Linked DNA regions of Schizosaccharomyces pombe. Changing the gene in region 2 together with the main gene of any one other region gives a genetic interaction. Each region holds a gene or a part of one and is shown on either strand. Other genes may lie near its edges.

Evidence for each region. A genetic interaction does not mean that the proteins touch.
Region 1: of phx1 (region 2) and pdc201, changing one suppresses a phenotype caused by changing the other (phenotypic suppression), as found in Schizosaccharomyces pombe (one study listed by BioGRID).
Region 3: of phx1 (region 2) and sod1, extra expression of one rescues a mutant of the other (dosage rescue), as found in Schizosaccharomyces pombe (one study listed by BioGRID).

Annotation. Positions count from the first base shown.
Region 1 is NC_003424.3:3,158,203-3,164,385, reverse strand, and holds pdc201 (pyruvate decarboxylase), read right to left. Parts: upstream 4,576-6,183; 5' UTR 4,157-4,575; coding exon 2,444-4,156; 3' UTR 2,141-2,443; downstream 1-2,140. Other genes in the region: exosome 3'-5' phosphorolytic exoribonuclease Rrp41, read right to left, coding at 278-963, 1,075-1,114, 1,163-1,165; ppt2 (holo-[acyl-carrier-protein] synthase new8), read left to right, coding at 1,532-1,716, 1,775-1,863, 1,943-2,067.
Region 2 is NC_003424.3:2,449,433-2,459,680, forward strand, and holds phx1 (DNA-binding transcription factor, stationary phase-specific Phx1), read right to left. Parts: upstream 7,087-10,248; 5' UTR 6,116-7,086; coding exon 3,287-6,115; 3' UTR 2,361-3,286; downstream 1-2,360. Other genes in the region: SPOM_SPAC32A11.02C (uncharacterized protein), read right to left, coding at 1-1,071; trp2 (tryptophan synthase), read right to left, coding at 8,226-10,248. UniProt on the Schizosaccharomyces pombe protein: Trnascription factor that regulates the expression of the homocitrate synthase (HCS) lys4.
Region 3 is NC_003424.3:1,000,698-1,005,593, forward strand, and holds sod1 (superoxide dismutase Sod1), read right to left. Parts: upstream 2,904-4,896; 5' UTR 2,767-2,903; coding exon 2,302-2,766; 3' UTR 2,141-2,301; downstream 1-2,140. Other genes in the region: cell septum surface endo-1,3-beta-glucanase Eng1, read left to right, coding at 1-1,306. UniProt on the Schizosaccharomyces pombe protein: Destroys radicals which are normally produced within the cells and which are toxic to biological systems.

The sequences.
Region 1 (6,183 bases), 710 kb from region 2:
TTTTGTAATATAAGCCCCTTTAGACAAAAAAGGGACGCAATCATTAAAAGATTATATACGATATTCGAGGTGATTTTTTTGATACTTATACAGAAATACCAAGGATAAGGACAAAAACGTTGTACTAGGAATAAAATGAGTAAAGCTGTATACGTTTTGTCAGAATATCGTAGAGCTAAGTAAAGTTGCAATTGTGATGACTTATCAATGTATAATTATAAAAATTAATCTTCCCGTTCATTTATTTTTAATAGTTTTTTTCCCCAAAATTTTGTCATTAGCTGAGACTTGCAAGTGCCGGTTTAGCGCTTTGTCGAACCGCACTTTGCATCGTGTTATAAATATGTTCTGATCCAGCGATCGCCATATTCATTACTGACTCCAAATAATCCAAATGCATACTAGTTTCCAGCTGCATATATACGACCTTTTTTATGTTCCCCAAAACAGCAACCGTCAACCATGAAAGAGCTGACTCCTCTAGTGAGTTTAAATCCAACAGCATATCAGACTCAACAATCCCAGCTGTACTACAGCAAACGAAATCTTTAACTGGTATACCAGCATCTATTAAGGCAAGAGTAGTAGCGTTGATACAAGATGCCATTACTGCACCATCATCTTGTAAAACATGCAAGTAGACAGAAATTTGACTTCTGGGATATAATTCTGTTTGAATTATCTCCTCAAATGTATTTTGTAAAGCTAAACATTGCAATTGAATTCTCCTATCCGATTTAAATCTCTTTTTCACATCTATTGTGCTGAAAGAAGCAATGTTTATTTCGACATTCACAAATGTTCTGTCAGCTCTAGCTTTGGACTTTATTACAGGCTCCGAGGGTCCATCGACTATACACAAGACCTTTGTGTTACCCAATTCAATAAACGCCGACCCATTCTCCGAAGGCTCGATTCCAATACGACACTGAAAGTTTCTCATCTCATCCCACCGTCGACCATCTTGCAACAAATATTAGCACACAGAAAGATTAATACATTTTATAAGAATCATAGATGTTTGAATGTAAATTTTAAGTTTCTTTTTCATTTCCCATAAATGAATTGGCTTACCATTTCGAAGACCTTCAAGGGATAAAATCTCAAAGTGTGACTATATGGTTAGTACTCGTATTATCTAGAGATAAATTCTATCTCTTACCATATGAAATTTTTTTTTTCGTGATTGAAAGGATTACAAATATATAATTTTTGGTTCCCTTTGAACACTTTTGTAACTGGGAGTGAGTAGAGAGTACACTTGTTACAGTAAAAACTCCTGCTACTGCATTCGCTACGAAACGAATTGGATTTGATGTCTTTGGGGGCACTAATCGATAATGAATTAGATAAATTTATTTCATTTTATTTAAGGATAAAGATTTTTATATCTCGTTTAGTGTGTCGGAAATTTAGTTTACAATATATTATTAATTAAGCGTTCAAAATTATTGAAGCCATAGATTTCTTTTTTTCTTCTTGCATTACCATTAATATTTCCTGTTCATGTTATAAAGAATCAAAAATCGAAATGGGTTTAGGGATTGACATTTTAAAAATTTCAAGAATCTCAAGATTAATTCAACGCTCTCCTGAATGGGAAAAGAACTTTTTAAAAAAATGTCTGTGTGAAAATGAAATTAAAAAGTACAACCTGATTAAAAGCAATTCCTCGCTGCCTCGTTTAAGCGAACAGGCTAAATGGCTTGCTGTTAGGTATGCTTGTCTATATTTATGATCGTTTCATAGTTTTAACGGTTATTTTCCTATGTAGATGGTGCGTCAAAGAAGCTGTTTTCAAAGCTTTACAACCGAATTTTCGAGTTTACATGTCTATGATGGAGTATGTTCGAACTCCCACAGGTGTGTCATTTGTTTTCCATGTTCAATGTTTAAAAATAAAAGGTTTGTAAAGTTACTGACTTTGTTATGATTAATATAGGCTACCCTTCCGTTGTTATTCATGATCCCCGATTTCCGCTTTCTCCCGTAATGGTATCTGTAAGCCATGAGGAAGATTTGGTTGTAGCGAATGCTTTGTATCTACCATCTATGCCAAAGACATAGACGAGAGACCAAATTGAAGGTACTATATTATTTAGTGATTCTATTGCTGCTACTCATTACCAGTCGTCTCAATGACCTTTTTTTATGTTATTGAGTTTATACTAACAGGGAATTATCTGGACAAGTCTACCTTGGAGTAAGGGGATGCAAAAAGAAAAAAAAAATAAATCATTCAATGAATCCTAATTACCAACAAAAAAACAACCGCTGCATAAACTTCAATATATTCATTCATTTTATGAAAGAAATATGGATTGACGTAGAAAAAAAAAACGACTGTTGCAAATTAACTAACCTAACAAAAGCATCATTTGAGAAATATTGTAAATTTCAAAATCAAAAACATATCATAATAATATAGCCATAGCCATATTTTTTACTGCTTGTTAAGAGAAGCGGTAAGTTTGGCTTGCTCAATCAAAACACGAGGAGCATCCAAGACAGGCATATGAACTTCAACGAGCTGAATTACATCAGCTTTTCCAAATTCCTCATCTTTAAAGAGATCGAGGAGCTCCTTTTCTGAATGAATGTTATAGGAGCGAGAATTTTTGGCACCATAGCCTTTAAGAAGGTTTTGATAGTCCCATTCAGTGTTGATGTCGTTGTAAACAGCGTGAAGACCGTGAATGAGACGTTCAATTGTATATCCCTTATTGTTAATTACAAATATGATAGGGGTGAGACCGTTACGGATGGTAGCAGAAATTTCCTGAACAGTTAAATGAAGGGAACCGTCACCAACAATCAATATGGAACGACGGTGAGGAGCATCGGAATCCTTGATGCCCAACGTAGCACCAAACATAGCGCCAACCGACCAACCAATTGAGCCCCATAATACCTGTGAGAGATTTTGGCAGCCTTTGGGGAAAATGCAATCCAAAATACCAAAGTTGGAGGTACCTGTCTCGGTAGTCACTACATCGGACTCACGAAGAAAAGAGGCAAACGTAGGCCAGAACCATTTGTGGGTAATGGTTCCTTCGGCGTAACCCTCAGCAGCAACAGCCTTTGGTGGCTCAAAGTGAACAGGACGGGCCTTTGCCTGAACGGACTTTTTGTCAATGGCAGCGGTGAGCTTGGGCAACAAATGTTTCATCGAAATGCCCTCGTAAACGCCAGAACGAATTTTGGTGTAGTCGGAATGAAATTCGATGGTTTGAGATGCAGGGGTAGCATAAGTAAAGGTGCCCGAGTTGAAATCGGAGCGAAGACCACCGATGATGAGAAGCAAGTCAGTAGATTCGGCACGTTCTTTGATGGAAGGCTCGGTCAAGGAGCCAATGTAGACGCCATCAAAGTAGGGGGATGACTCATTGATCGCAGTCTTACCCATGGGAGTAACGTAAGTGGGGAAATGGGTCGCATCAATAAAGTCTTGGGTTTCCTGTTGAATGTGGAAGCGGGAAACACAAGCGTCAACGAGGATAGAAGGGTTCTTGGATTTTTCGATCAATTCGAGAATCTCAGAAACCACCTCGTGCTCAATCTCCTTGTTGTTTTCGGGAACAGGGAAAACCAATGGAGTCTTCAAGGGAGAAGCATCCGTGTAGAAGTAGCCGGCGTCCGAAGGAACGGCCAGATAAACGGGTCTTGAAGTGCGAACGCACGTTTCCAACAGGTTGTCGATGAGACGACCGGCAGAGTCACCGCTATCCAGGAAGGCGACATCGGCAGACAACTCGGAGGACATACGCTGGAAGACTTTAAAGTCACCATTTCCCAGTGTGTGATGAAGAAGGGGACGAGTGGCTTGAGCCTTGGTGTTGGGAACACCGACAATGTGAACGACAGGAATACGTTCAGAGTATGCGCCGGCGAAACCGTTGAGTGCGGAAAGTTCACCGACGCCAAAAGTGGTGACGATGGCAGAAATGCCCTTAACACGAGCATAAGCATCAGCGGCATAAGCACCGTTTAGCTCGTTTTCATTACCGACCCAGCGAAACGTTTCGTCGCCCACTTTCTCAATCAAATCGAGCAAAGCCAAGTTAAAGTCGCCGGGTACACCGAGGATGGATTTGATGCCCAATTGCAGCAAACGGGTGAAAAGGTATTCACCAACGAGGACTTTTTCGGAAGACATGATACAGGAGTACAACAAAACACGCTACTTAAACAAGACAAGCAAGCAAGTAAGAAGAGCAAAAGGATAGAATGAAAAAGAGAAGGAGAAGAGAAGAGAATAGAGGTGAAAAGAAGAGAAAAGATTGGTCAAAGGAAATGAAAAAGCTCAACAAAGAAAGAGGAGGAATGATACAAGGATCTCAAAAGCAAGTCAAACAAACAAATTTGGGTTTATTAAAAAAAAAAAAAAAAAAGTATAGTATAGTATAGTATAGTATAGTATAGTATAGTATGTGATAAACAAAGGAAATATACAGAGCACAGTAAGATGAATTAATTCCTTTGATATAGATGAGAGAGAGGTTTTAAGTTTGTTTCTTTCTTAACTAAAAAGAATAATAAAAATATGTATGAAACGTGAAAAATTGTTTTAAAGACGAATGAAATGACAGCAACCGCCTCTCCTTTTATAATCTGTGTGACAAGGCCTACAGCATTGACTTTGCAGCATGATTCATCTTTGATCGGTGTATCAATACGCACAACCGATTTGGTCAAGTAAAATCACAGAGGCAAAACTTCGGCTTACTTGATCAGCTTCCTATTTCCATGCAAGAATACCATTGCACTTTGATTAAATTAGCTTGCATTAAAGTTCAGGCTACAAAAACATATTCGGACAACAATGACAAGTATCCGACCAATTACTAAATTCAATGTGCGAACCTCTCCACTCTCGGGTAAGAAGAGTGCATACAAAGCCTTTAGACTTTGTTGTCATGCGCTTCCCTGATACGTAAGTAAATGACAATTAAGATGGAAGGGATTGCGAATGTCGCTTACGTGGCGATGGGCTTGGATGGATGGGCAAGCGGTCAGTCGCTGTTTGTTTATTACGGGAGGGGAGGAGGGATGGAGAGTAAACAACGTAGTATTGTAATGTTTGTGTGAAGGAATGGAAGTGTTTGTGTGTGTGTATTGTGAGTATATGGATATTGTGAGTAAATGAATGTGTTGTAATAATATGAATGTGCGTGTGTGTGTGTGTGTGTGTGTGTGTGGTCGCAGCGAGTGAAATACACAATCATTAATGTTGTATGGTTGCTTTGATGATTTGGGCTGCTATGACGAGAAGCATTGATACTACATGGTTTGCTCATATTACAGAGCCATTGATTTTAGTGAATTATGCAAGGCATGAACGAATGTCTTTCCCCTTGTTTTGTGGCACGAAAAGGCATGATTGAGGCTGTTGAACGTCGGGCGAAAGTGTTTCCTCATGCTATTTTTCCTCTTTCTCCTTTGTCTCTCTACTGTGCTTTACTCTGCCTTGCTTTGCTTTGCCCTGTTCTACCCTCTGAATTTCGATGTAAGGCGGTACAGTGTAATTCGTTGTTTTAAGAATAGAGTTGGAGAATTAATTATTCGTATTCCAAAACAATTACTAATAACTAATGATGTACAATTTTTACGATATGGTTGTTGCGTTTTGACCAGTAGTAGCGCACACAAGGATCGGCATGAGGATCGTCAGCTAAGAAGATAGTGTGTGTATTTGTGAGGGATCGCCAAAAGATAGCAAAGTGGATGGTGTTTAATGATTTTCGTTAAACTTGGTTAGGGGGTTGTGGAAAGAACGCTATTCCCTTATATGTTTGGTGTTTAGCGATTTGAGAATGAATTTGCAACAATTTGATTAGAAAGAGTTTAATCTTTATCATTGTGTTTATTTAGACAGAATGGGTTAGAAATGAATAGTGGGTTAGGTATGAAGAATTGAATGGTTCGTAGAAAGAATGCCGCATAGGTCCAAAACTTGGCAGATATTCAATTTTGAGCGATATAGAGTGGTAAATAAATGAAAAAAAATCAAATAAAAATGAAAAAAAATAAAAATAAAATTGATACCCATAATTTGAAAATGAATAACCATATAAACTAAATTTAAAATAATGAATACTAAGAGTAGAAACACAATTTCATTATCATAAATCTTTATTACAACACCATAAATCCTTCTTCCTTTTTCACAATTATTAGTAATTC
Region 2 (10,248 bases):
TTCATCGCCTTTATCTCGCAACTTGTTAAATTCTTTATCCGAGGCATCACTTTTTGCATAGCCCTTTTTCAAAAGCACCTTGCGAACAAACTGGCGGGTAGATTCTAACCAGTCTTTTAGTTCTTCATCATTCTCAGCATCATGCTGTACTTGTTTTAAGGTGTCAATCAAATTATCAAGAGATCGATTTAAAATGTTTTCCACGAGTTGCTTCAAATATTGCATAGCACGATCGTAATGTTCGTTAGTGTCAGCAGTAACATTTCCACTCTGTTCACTGAGTTTATCGATGAACTTGTCAATTAGATTCAAAAGACTGCGAACAGGATGCTGATATTTTGGATCTCCCTGCAAATCCACAGCGACAGATTTAAACTCTTCGTAAAGATCTTGAAGTTTTTGTTTGGTTTCCTCTTTAGCCTTTTGCGCATCAGGATCATTTTTAATCTTATCTTTGGCCTTGCTTCCTTGTTCGCGAGCTTGGTCGCGTGCGGAAGCTCCATTTCTCATGTTTTGCTTAACTTTGTTCACTCCATTGCGAAGGTTATCCGATTTTTTTCCATCCTGCTCGTTCAATTTTTTACTGGCAACATTCGTTGTTTGCTGGCCCAAAAGTACAATGGCGTTTTGCAAAAGCGTTCGCAGTTTACCATTGTTAAAGATGAGCAAGAACAACTGCTTCAGGTCCTCGGTACTGAAATCTTGACTTTGCATATCTTCGGTGATATCATTCCAAACCTCATTAACATTTGTAGAGCCTTCAGCTTGCGATAATTCATAAATTGCGTTTTGGAGCAAATCTCCTTCGTTCTTTTTCGCAAATACATTAAAGCTATTATCAATAAGCTTGGAAAAGTCACTAAAAAATTTCCGAGCCGGATCAGAGATTTTCTTTTGCCTCTCTTTGGCAACGGATTTCGCACCGTCCGTCAGCGACGAACCGAGCCCTCGAAGCTGTTTGTTCGAGGGCATCTTGCCGTTCGAAATAGCTGTCCATATTGAATAAACTTCTAATCCTTTTCCAGTTTCCTCATGCACAACATGCTTGTCAGTGGGATAAGCAACCGCCATACTTGCTCAACGACTAATGCGAAAAAGATTAGCAGCAATTAATCACTTAATGATAGTAACAAGCGAGACACGTCAGCTAATATCAGATGGTTACAAGTGTAAAAGTGATAAATAAACAAGACTGAAGATATCCTTTCCTCTTCAGCACTCCAAAATCAGGATTTTACAGTAAAAACCTCTTGTTATGGGATAGACAGACACACAAGTGCGATCAATCAAACAAATAATCAAATGTCGCTTTGATGGAATCCTCCTTAAGTAAAGAGATATATGGTTTCGCTTTATTTTCCTAAAATTCCTTGTCGCAACTTTATTTCAATTCTGTACAAAGATTATAACTTTATAGGACCATGGCGACATTAAATACATTTATTTAAAGCCTTTACGTTATGACTATCTCAGCCATACTCGAATTAGGCTGTGGCGTCATGAAAACTTGCATAATCATCTTTACTTACGAAGTATTAGTGTCAATCCACTCTCCTGTTCATAAAAGAATGGCTCATATGAGAATGGCTACTCTAGTAATGACAGGTTCAAGAATACGTGCATTCTCGTCATTAAGACACTATATTGACGTTCAACCGTTTCATGTCCAAAACTATAGTGTAGTTTGAAGAAGTAAACTACGTCATGCGCTAAATATGTGATGTGGTTATATATTGCAGTAAGTATCGCTATTTACTGGCTTGCTACATATTGTTCTTCATTATTCGGTAAACAGTGGAAGAAGAAGGGCTGGGCTGGCTTACTTGTTCTTGTTAGTTGATCGATTGGTCGCAATGTTCAATCGATATATGGAAGGCGTTTCTTTCACTTCTTTTTCTCTTTTTTGGCTTTCTTATTGTTCGGAGAATTTCCGTATCTTAGAGTGTTTCAGTATAATCAATCATCTATCTAATCTGGTGTGTGCTGCTTTAGCTTCAGCTTATAGGCATCAGCAAAAAACAACATCACCTTCAAAGTAGGCGCCCGAAATCATTGTTCATATTTTTGTCCTATACTTTTGTACTAACTGATAAAAATTATTTTATAGATATTAAAAGCAAATCTTATATATTTGTCACCTCCAAACAATTTTTTTATTGATATTCTCCATTCATGAAACATAAATTCATTCTTATAATAAAACAAAATAAATTTTAAGAAAATGAAAAAAATATATATTACGAGCTTAGTCTAAATACATTCTAATATACATCTTTAAAATAAATTTTCTAATATTATATCTTAACAATTATTACTTTGGTTCATTCAATTCTTTGCTCATCTCAAAAAATTATCTACTAGTGAAATGTTTATTTACACAGAAAATGACTATATATGGCATGCACCTCTTAAAAAAAAGGCGGACAGCTTCGTTGATGGATTATGTTTCAAAGAATCTAATTCTACTAAATTAACTCATAATGCTTTCAAAATTATTATAGTTTATGTGCAAAAACTGTGATGCTGAAACGTTCCCGCTGGAAAGGAGAAATAACGAAAATAATAATCGTCCTAAATGTCAAATTAATAAAAAAAAAAACATGAAAATAAAGTAATAATATACATGAGGAAAAAGAAATTATTCATAACTTAAAAAGAGAAATAAATGGTAAATAAAAAAGTTTAAAGTCGCCAAAAAAATATGTGTCGGCTAAACATGCAAAAACTCAATAATCCAACTCACGCTCGTGGGTACGATACTGTTCAAACTCCATTACATTTTTTCAGTGGAATTTGGATTCGATCATTGACGGAGTTTCTTCAAATGAAATGCTAGGATCATTAAGTATTGCATACACGATACAACAATATGTAATACCTCCTATCGCTTTGGAACATAAAATAAAATAAAATTAAAGAAGTAAAAAAAACATAAACCATACATAATCGTATATGAAGTGCCTTGTAGAGGTCTTTTATTTTTTTTTTCGCATCAAAGTTCTTCCCAGACAATAATACATGGAAGCACAATTTTTTTCCATGGAATTGTATTTTTATCACCAAATTAAACATTATTCAAGAATACCTTGTATAATATAGATCAAAAATTAATCCTTTAAACCTTTTAGAGATATTGATGAATTTATAAAAACGTAAGCGGTCATAAAAATACAAACGAGGCATGTAATTTTCAAGAGTTAAACATCTTCTCGTTATCAAAAGAAAACGAAAATAAGCAAGCTTCAAGCGAGTTTCAATTGTACCGTTAATCATCATATCACAAAATTTACTGCATGTCCGGAGAAAATTGTTGACCACGAAGTTTCTGAAAATCTATACCAGCAGAAGGAGAGTAAACATCCTCAAATGGACTACCACTTTGGTCATGAGATAAGTAGCCCGAAGCTCCGGGTTGCGACGCATACACACCACCGCTACTACTTTTCTCAATTAAATTACTATCCTGTCCAGCAGATGATGCTAAAGGTATAGACGGTGTTTGAATGAATAACCGAGGAGCAACCCCAGCAGAAACAGATGAATTTGTACGGGCTTGCGCGTAAACAGACTCTTCAGATGGTACTTCAAATCCATACGACGGGACAGAGTTCTCAGTAGCAAGGGAGACATCTCCAAATGGTACCTGAGATAACTGTTGACTTGGTGCATTCATCGTGGTGGAAATTGAAGAAGAGCCAATGCCGCCAAATTCTCTGTTTTGAGTCGTAAATGGGACGGATACGTTTGTGTTCATTGACCATGAATTTGGAGTGAGACCACCAGTTTGTGAATTGGGAAACTGCGCTGCCATGTCTTTTATTTCCGTGTTAATACCTTGTGTATTTGGATGCATCACAGGTCGGCTTGGTGAATTGGATGCTCGAGGAAGTGAGCCGACATCGGATGGTGCCGATAAAGGATATGATATATTAGATGTGCCAAGCTCACCAAACTGCGTGTTATCAAGATTAAGCGCTAAATTATGGTGCGGATAAGCAGATGAAACTGAAGGCTCATAAGAGTTTAGTCTTGTAGAACTTCCTTCCAAAACATTAGCAGATTTCATTGCTTGAGTAATAGGAGACACAGATTGAGCATGCATAAGCCCTTCAGTATTAGTTTTCGGAGGTAAAAGATGCTGAGCCAAATCCTGTCTAGCAGGGGTTGAAGTGCTACGAAGCCTTTTAAACTGGCTTTTATTGCCATATTCAGAAGAAGTGTCATGAGACAATCCCTGGATAGGAGGGTTTCTTCCTTGATGATCAAATACAGAGCTATCAGGTTGTCTAGGAAGTTGATTAGCCCATTGAGGGTCCAAAAATTGGTGAGGATTAAGACCTTTTTGAAGGCGGATTACAGACCCCAACTCTGGCGATGCCCTTCGAACCCGATCGAGCATTTGAAACATGCTAGTAGCTCTTCCCATCAAAGAATGTAATAAAACTTCCGAAGCCTGATTACCCTCAGTAAAATCCGTACAATTTCCCTGTCCTTCGGAAGTGATCATGTGAAATACTGGTGGAACACTCAGCTGAATATCCATTTGAAGCCAATATTCATTTGGTGCCGGTTTATCTCGACTAGACGCAGTTGCACTCAACTCATTTAACAAGGGCTCCTCTACTCTAAAAACGTGTATCGACTCAATGACAAAAAAAGAATATTCAATACGATACTGAATCCCCTGGAATTGAATCAAATATGCAAATAATTTCTTTGGCGGAGAGTAGAAACACATTAAATCCTGAGGAGAGGCTCGTAGTCTTTTCCATAAACCAATTACTAGTAATGTACAAGAAAAGTAGTAAAATTCCGAATCATATGAGGTCGGTTCTGAAGAAGTACGCATGTGCCCTGTTGCCATATTAGGAGGACGAACAGGCCCTGATGCTTTGTATGATGAAGGCTTGGAATGACCGAACATTCTGTAACCCCCAGAACTAGGGCTCACTTCTCTAGGATAGGAGTAAAGATCTGACTCTGGTTGAGGCATACGGATGCCTGTAAGTGGAGTAGCATACGAAGAGGGTGGAGATTCTACGTCGAAAGCTTGATTTGATACCGACATAGCATTTGGGATTGCGGAATAAGAAGAGGCAGAGTATTTCCTTTGACTTGAGACAGGAACGGCATTTGGACTTAGACTATTGTAGTATGTACTAGAAAGAGACTGACGGATCGGAATGTCTGACTCTGCTATGCATGGCTCCATGGAAGATTGCATAGGTCCACTTTTCATATAAAAGTTTCCTGTTTTTCTAGTTGGTTTAGGCAATAACGTGTTCGCATACTGCCTATTAGCTGCTATTCCCCCAACGTAGGGACTGGTAGGTGAAGTAGACAATACTTCGTGCGCAAATGCTTGTGAAACTTTTTGATTTAAGGAATCCAATTCTCTCTGCTCACGAAGGATCCTTTGTCTTTCTTCTTCTTGACGTCTTGAAATGAGCTTTGATTTTGCTCTTCTGTTTTGAAACCAAATAGTTACGCTACGTTCCGGAATATTCAACTCGCGTCCAATTTTTTCCCTTATAGCTGGAGGTGGATTAGTATCTTTGGAGAATTCCCGAAGCAAATAAGCAAGTTGATCTGCAGTAAGGCGCTGTTTTTTGCTCTTTGGCGCAGAAGTAGATCCGCCGCTCTCAGGAGTACCACTTTCGTGAGCGACATTCTCCTTAGCTTTCTCAACAGATGTAGCTTCAACAACTTCATTTTGCTTTGAATTAGCAGGTTCCGACTCAGATTTAACAATATTAGGTTGAACTGGCGATGGATTCGTCAATTTCGAACTATTCACATTATCAAATGAATTATTATCTGCAAAACTCGGTGCATCCGGTTTGGGTTTCTCCTGTTTCCAATCTACTTTGTTTTCGTCAAATTCAGGAGGAAAATAATTAGGATTGGTAGGATTTTGCTGTTCCCCTTGAAGATGCTGCTCATACGTTGAATGGGGTAATTGCATGTTATTATCAGATGGAAACTGACCGAGAAAAGAATCCATGTCATAGTTGCTCAAGGACAAATTCTCCGGGAGCATTGTAGGTCGCTTCTCAGAATAATTAATATTGTCATTAATTTGACCACCATTTTCTGGGTTCGAATAACTACGCATATTGTTCTTAGAAATAAAATGAAATGAAAATAAAATCCTTATGAGAAATAAAAATTTGCTTCAAAAAGTATGCCAAGAAATGCAAATTGAATGGTGACTTTGGAAGATTAATTAAAGAAAGCTCAGAGAAATAAAATGATGTAAAAAAAATTAAATTGAAAGAAATTCCGTGGAATCTCTGAGTACTTGAGGAGACGCAAAAAACGTGAACCTGGTACCCTCGAAATATGGGGCACTTATGAAACCCCAGCCGCTGAATTTATTGTAATTAAAAACTTATCCTATCCAAAAAAAAGTTTGACCAGAAGAAAACCCTAACGAAATAAATTTGATCCCTTCTTGGAGGGGACTTCTCTCTTTAGCTTTTGTAGCAGAGATTGTAGCTATGTTCAGATACATAAGCACAGTGGACAAGCAATACCCAAGCTTTAAAGTCTCCAAGTAGAAATAATTAGTACGCCTTCTAGATCTTGAAAGAAACTGATTGACGAAAACTAAGAGACACGACCCTTTGTAGACAGAGGCTATCGATCCCTGGATATCTCACAAATGTCAAAACAAATAAAAATTGACTAAATGAAGAGATGAGTTGTCAAATTTGCCTAAAAATTAAATAATAAAAGTTTGCTAATTAAATGATAAAAAATATTGCAAAATTAACAATATAATTATTCCCTTCTCTTTCCCCAATTTTTCTTTCCCTTTTTTGTTATTAAAAAAATAAATAAACCAAATAATTAAAGATCCGAATGTAATTGAGATATTCGTTAACGTTCACTGCTAATAGATCGTTGCTGATTGCTCCTCTAAATCTAATGCAATAAAACACAACTTGAAATATCGTAAAGAGATGCAATTTCACTCCAATTTGATCCTTGCAAGAGCCTAATTAATTTCTGTCCTAATTTAATGAATTAAACAGAATGCTTATGGTTTCATAAATAATGTAGTTTTTATATGGTTGATGTGGTGGTTTTAATTCACATATCGCTCTTCACTTAACTAACCGAACAATTATATTACGAACTCTAACGTACTACCTTGCCTTAGAAACGACGCCCCCAATACATATTGGTAAATCCTTTAGTAAAGTGAATGAACGATCGATTGCTTCTAATGAGCAAGTCTTTGTTTTTAAGACCTATTATTTGAAGGATACTTTTGTCGAATGGGTACATCTAGGGTCATATGTAATTCATAGAATATATAGATAAATCATAATTTTGTCCTCAACTTTACTATTAACTATGTGGGGAATTGTGGAGAAACACTAATGTTACATTTACTGTCTAAACTGTAAGCGAGAATACTACCTATCTGAATATTGTAATATAAAAACATAGAAACATTACTAAATTTTTAAAAATTTGATCTGTACCACTTGTTTGATTTTATACTTTTTTTTCAATTTATTCTACGGGTAATGCTGTTTTAGGAGTGCGAACTTAAGTAATTGTAATTGGGAGTTTTACCATAGTTCAAAGATTTGTGACACTTTTTATTATTCAGTGCTAAAGACTTGAGTGGTCTTATTAGGCGAATATACAGAAAGAATTTTATTTTCTCTCCATAAACTGCTAACTTCAATCTGGAAGATTTGCTAATATACCAAAGATTAAAGCTTATGTTAATAGACTATGTCGCGACTCTAAAAAGCCAAAACCATATAAATTGAAAATACTACGACATCTTGCTCGTGCTGATAAATTGTTTTAAAACATTTTTTGCACTTGCATTGTAGTGTAAATAGGACATGATTCTCAAAATCATAGACTAAAGAAAACCGCTTTGTTGAATGTTCTTCTTCAGCATACACATAATTCTCTTAAGCCTTTGAAAAATTAGCCTAAGAAATTAAATCCACAGAAAACCTTTATTAGGTAAATAAGTACAGTATTATGTACAGGTTATTACATGACTACAACGCTATTTAAGGCTAGTAAATAGTAGAAGCAAAATTGAAATGATATTTATAGATAAAAAGAAATACACATATGTTTTGGTATAAAAAAGTTTAATCGCATGCGATGCTTGTATATCTATAGATCGCAACTCCGCTTAAGTTTACGGAGCCTTAATATAAATCAGAAAATCGTGAGTAGAACATTGCTTAAAAGCGAAGGTCCCATCCAATTTTAGGACCTAAAATAGGAAGTTGTTCAGCTACGCTTTGAACATCCTTGTCACCACGACCTGAAATGGTGATCACAATATCCTTATCTTTAGGTAACTTTTTAGCAAGCTCCATTCCACCATACACAGCATGAGAAGATTCCAAAGCGGGAATGATACCTTCAAGATGACATAGAGCGCGGAATCCTTCTAAACATTGAGCATCAGTGACAGCGATAAACTCTGCGCGATTGGTATATTTAAGTTCAGATAATTCGGGTCCCACACCTGGATAATCCAATCCAGCAGATATAGAGTGAGTATCTTGAATTTGTCCATCTTCGCGTTGCAGAACATATGTTCGAACTCCATGAAATACACCAACTTTTCCCATAGTCAATGTAGCACTATGTTTGGGGGTATCTACACCATCACCACCAGCTTCACAACCCAACATCATTACACTTTTATCGGCTTTGAAGGGAGAAAACATTCCAATCGAATTGGATCCACCACCAACACAAGCAACAACTGCATCAGGAAGTTTTTTACGCTTCTCTTGCATTTGCGCTTTCGTTTCCTCGCCAATGACACTTTGGAAAGTTTTAACAATGGTAGGGAATGGATGAGGGCCAATTGCAGATCCAATTAAATAATGAGTGGTGTCTATTTGTTCGACCCACGCCTTCAAAGCTTCGTTAACAGCATCACGAAGGGTCTGTGTACCTGAAGTAACCGGAACGACTTCAGCTCCCAAAAGACGGATGCGAAAAACGTTGAGTGCTTGACGACGACAATCTTCTGCACCCATGTAGATAGTACATTTCATACCAAATTTAGCGGCACAGATAGCAGTAGCAACTCCATGCTGACCAGCACCAGTTTCAGCAATGATACGGTTTTTTCCTAAACGTTTGGCAAGAAGAATTTGCCCAATACAGTTGTTAATTTTGTGTGAACCACCATGATTCAAGTCTTCACGCTTCAACCAAATATGGGCACCACCACAATACTCAGTTAAACGCTTAGCATAATCGAGGGCACTTGGACGACCCATATACTCATAATAAGAACGAAATTCTTCCCAAAACTTTTCATCATGCAAAGCCTTATAAAATACACTTTCAAGTTCAACTAAGCACTGGGTTAATGCTTCTGGAACATACATACCACCAAACATGCCATATTTTTGAGGAAGATACATTTCGTTGATAGGTTCGACCACAGCAGCAGGGGGGGCAGTAGCAACAGAACCACCGGATTGAAACTGTTTAGGTACAGGTGCGGATGGGTCTTCTTTAGTAAGATATTTACAATATTCCTCAACCACGGTAGCAGCAGTGCCAGGCTCTGCCTTCAAAATCAAATCGATAATTTTGCTTCCAACTACAACACCATCTGACACGCTGCCAACTTGGTGGAAATGTTCACTGGTGTTAACACCAAAACCAACTGCTAGAGGGGTATCTCCAGCAAATTTACGAACACGCTGACAGAGCTGAGGCAAAGCAGTATTGATTACTCCGGTAGCAGATGATCCTGTACTACCCATACGAGAAACAACGTAAATAAAGGAGTCAGCCACAGAGGCCAAGAGCTCCATACGCCTGTCCGTAGTAGAAGGAGCAACAAGAGGAACGAAACTAACACCTTGCTTTTTACATTCTTCTCTAAAGCCGACAGCCTCCTCTGGAGGAAGGTCAACGATGATGAAACCATTAGCGCCAACCTCCTTTGCCTTTTGAATAGTTTTGGCATCTCCATAACTGAAAATAGGATTGTAGTAACCCATCAAAATTATAGGGATAGTTACACCTGCATCACGAGCGAGCTTTACAGTTTCAAATACTTTTTCTAAAGTAATATTATTCTTCAAAGCAATTTCGTTTCCCTTGCAAATTGTAGGACCATCAGCGACGGCATCAGAAAAAGGAATACCAAGCTCAATTATTCCTGCTCCTCCATTTTGCAAACCTTGCATAATTTTGATAGTTTCATCAACATTAGGAAAACCGCAAGTG
Region 3 (4,896 bases), 1.4 Mb from region 2:
ACTTTGGGGTCAAGTAATTGGCGATTCTGATATGGAGGATCGCGCAAACATTATTTTGGGCATTGAAAGAAATGCTTTGAATAAGTACATGCTGTATGCTGATGGAAACGTCCAGCCCACTTCTATGCAACCTAATTATGTTGCCGGTATTACATTCATGAACAAAATTACTCACACTACCTATTTTGGTACTAATATTGAGTACATCCAAGGAATTCATATGTTGCCTATCACTCCAATTTCAGCTTTTATCCGTGGTCCTAGCTTTGTACTAGCTGAATGGAATGCCTTACTTGCTAGTGTCATTGACTATGTAGATAGCGGTTGGAGAAGTCTTTTATATGCTAATCTAGCTATTGCTGAACCTGAAGAAAGTTATGAATATTTCTCCAGTTCTGATTTTAATACCGATTACTTAGATGACGGGGCCTCTCGTGCCTGGTATTTGGCTTATGCCGCTGGCTTATGGGCTAATGATGCCGTTTATTATCCTGTTAGCTCTTCTTCTACCACCACGACCTCTACGAGTACCGGAAGTGTTACGACAACCTCTACTACTGCAACTGCCAGTTGTACACTACCTATATCCTATACTTCGACTCCTACTACTACAAGCATCTCTGGTACTTGTAATGGTGCTACGTTTGATGCAAGTTTGTATGTATGCGACGGAACTGTACTCTGCCCTATTGTTAATGGTGTATCATATCAAAACTGCAACGGAGCTTGCTATAACCCTTCGCAATATGGCTGCGACAATGGAGCTTTGGGCCCTGTTCAATCTTCATCGACCACTTCCTCCATTACGCCTACTCCCACAACTACTTCCTCAATAACACCCACACCTACTACAACTTCAACAACTACTACCGCACAGTCAACTGGCATGCAACTATGTGGCTCTAACTACTACGACGCATCCTCTTATTATTGTGACAATGATCAGTTATGTCCTATAATAGACGGAGTGGATTACTTGAGTTGTAATGGTGCATGCTATAATCCTTCCCAATATGTTTGTTCTGATGGTTCTTTGTCTCCAAACACTGTTACAACAACAAAAGCTACTACAACTTTCACACCTACACCTACCACAACTACTACACCTACACCTACTACTACATCTGCTACATCCACTAATGTGATAGCCCAATGTGGATCAGCTTGGTATGATTCACAAAGTTATATTTGTTATGGCAATATACTGTGTCCCATTATAAATGGGTCTCCATTGTTAGCTTGTGGTAATGCGTGCTATGACTCCTCTATATACGGTTGCTCCAATGGTGCACTTGTTGCTGCTTAAGCATGACCAAAGTCCGGAATTGTATTGCGAGGTGCTTTTTTGGATTTCTTCAGATGTACTATACTTATTGCTTGTATGTTTTCAAACTATTTAAAAAACTACATTTTGTTCATAATACACGTCTGGAACGTGAACTACTCTCAACTTGAAACCCTTTTTGGATATCGTCTAGGCCGGCTTAGAGATCAATTTATTAAAATTATTCTTGCTGAGTTTTTCTTTTTTGCATCTTTTTGAATTAGTTGGTTATTATTTAACCACTTATTTTATTAATTGTTCACACTGGATGTGAACCTTTAGACTTATAGAATAAAATTTATTTTAAAATACAACTTGTGCAGATGTTTTCAGTTTACACAAACTTGCCTGTCGTTATTGTTTAGTTGAAATTAGTTCGTAAAAATTCATTGATACGTAAAAGTAATAACAAAATCAACAAAGATGAAACGATGGTATTATGATTAATAAAAAAAAAGGCTTCACCCATTAGAATTTTAACAAGATGTGTTGATATTGCTACTATGTGTGTATCTATTAATCAACATTCTATATATCTTTTTTTAAACAATACGAAAAGCACTTTCTATCATCTTTATGCACGAACTCAACGATGCAAAACAAAGTTTTCTGACTAAAAGATCAAAAATTGTTGCTGCTTTTGCTTCTTCATTATCAATACCGAAACAAAGTTACAACAATTCCTTCTAATTAACTGAATTTTATGTAAACTCGAACGCAGAGTCTTAAGGACAAAAATACATCACTACATTTTTTTACACATATAACATAATAGTAACAAACAGCTTCCACAAAGCTACAGTACTTATCATCATCAATTAAATTAAGTTTTTTAATACAGAACCTATAGAAGCATAATATACGGAACTTTTCATAAAAAAAAAGAAATTTGAGATCACTCAACTAAATGATAACAATACTAACCAACACCTAAACCCACAGCCATTTGAACAAAAAGACGTAAAAACTCAATAAATTTAGACGGCAATACCAATGACACCACAAGCGTTACGTGCACCAGCGTTACCAGTCTTCAAAGACTCTTCACTAGTACCCTTACCAAGATCATCCTCACCGGCATGAATGACAATGGTACGGCCAATGATGCTGTTGGCACCAAACAATGAGATAACAGAATCAGAGAAAGTAGTCTTGATGTTGCCCTGAGCATCGCTTTCCAAGTTACCAAGATCACCAACGTGACGAACAGCGGCGGTACGGTCACCGTGAGTCTTACCCTCTGGGTTAAAGTGAGGACCAGCAGAGGTACAACCGTTGGTATTATCACCGAATTGGTGAATATGGAAACCACGCTTGGCATTAGCGTCATTGCCAACGAGATCCACAATCACAGAAACTTGAGAGTTTTGATCGACTTGTTCAAAAGTAACGACACCACTGACCTTAGAGTCACCACGAAGAACTGCTACAGCTCTAACCATTTTGTATGACGATAATTTACTTTAAAAAAATACAACAAGAGAAGGGGTGTTTTGAGTAATTAAGTGTTTTGAAGGAAAATCAATAAGATTTTAACCACACTTCAAAGTTGGAGATTTCGAAAATTTTGTTTGGAATTGGAAGAGGATAGGGCGGCGTGTCATCGCTTATATAGTAAATAGCTCCACGCGGAATATACATGAAATTTTAACGATATCAACTCAAATCAATTTTTCGATATGACCAATGTTTTTTTATATTCTAAAAACGAAGAAATTGTCTTTATACTTATCGATTTAACAAATTTGCTTTACAAAGCATTGTCTAGTCCGTGCCTTCGAGCCTCCAAAATAGGCCAATAAGCTACGCCGAGCATCACCTCAGCTTGGCGTTGGCTTACTCCACCAGTATTCGTAATCATATTACGTGCTCCTTCGCGGAATTGAAATTCCGCTAAAGATGATAACGCGCCACTCGAAGAATAAATAACGATATCTAAAGTTGCGGTAATAGCAATCGTCGTTCTCGTTTTCGTAGACGTTAAAACATTTAGCGTAAGGTAAGAATGACCACGTTGAAGTAAGGTCGCTAATGGGGGTAAAGATCTTCAAAGAAAGGGAAACTTGAGTAGACAAACATTGCATAGAGATTCAAATGCATAGACTAGCTAAAATATCAAACCCCCATTTGGTTCAGTAAATCCCACTAGAGTTCGCAGAATAAAAGTCCTACATGTATATAGATTAGCGTTTTGAGTCTAGGTGTGAAGAGCCTAAGGCCGGTCGGTAGACTTGCAAAGCCCGTTCGTTCACGGAAGTTGTTAGGAGCAATCGCTTGTAACAGTCAAATTGTTATGAAGCTTCAATCGACGTGAGGAGGATAATAAAATTCGCTCTAGAAAGAAATATTCGTGAACTCATAATTTTCCCATAATGAACAAACCTCTCAGTATGCATTTTTGAGAAAGAATCGCAAGTACAACTGCTGATAATATCATTGAGCTTTTAAAAAATAAAATAACATAACCATAGTAATGCTTTGTACTAGGAAGCGAGTGACACTATGGTTATTTTGGAGTTAAAAAAAATCCTGATGATCTGTTTTGCAAATACGTTAATCGCTTCTATCCATCGATCTACCTACATATTATTTTGGTAGAAAACAGAAAAAGTTCTCTGAGGGGGACGCTGTTTATATAAGAAATTTGCCAAGATGTATAAAGTATTATGCCGAAAACAGTAATTACCTTGAGCTACTTATTTTATATGACTTATTTTTGCTATTCGTGAAGTAGCAATATGAGACTATTTTGCTAGTGCGCGAAAGAAATGGCTCATTACAAAAAATAGCGTTTCGCATAATACTAAAGGCGGTATATTCCTAAATACAATTCTCTTAATCATTCTACCGTAATTGGGTACATTACGATATGTCAGCAATACTACACTACGCTATGATACACTACGTTGCGTATCACTATATGTCATATGTTGGAATACTAGCTAAGATCCGTTTATTGATAATCACGGGTAACTATCCGTCTATATACATAGATACCCGTTGATAACAACTATTTAGAAATATTATAAATAGCGTTACAACTGAACCTCGTTCCTCAGTTCAGTTATGAGCTATATTAGTGATAGGTAACATTATAGCCCAGTTAATACAATACCTATACTCAGTTGCTACTTATACAACCTGTGTATTGTAATATAATAGACCACAAGGAAAACTCACCGCAGTTCTTCGTATCCTTAAATCAGATACCAAACTGCGTAGCTTACACGATACACTTAATAACGCATATCCTCAAAATACTTTAACTCTTGGCAATGGGATTGATGAGTAGAATGTGTGCGATTTATGCTCATGATTTGTACAACTTGACTTTGGAGAGGTAGTCAAGAATTTTCTGTTAGTGTATGGAAAAACCTTGATGTGATTCACTGCTGTACAATCAAGCATAGCTACAGAGCCTTAAATATGTTGTTATTGAAAGTAAACAAATGAAATACTATACACCCAGATTAATAATTTATCGATTTTTTTTGAAGCAAAGTATTTCTTTCTGATTCTATAAATTGTCGACTTGGGGGACAATTGTGAAACTGTAAGGCAAGATGAACTTT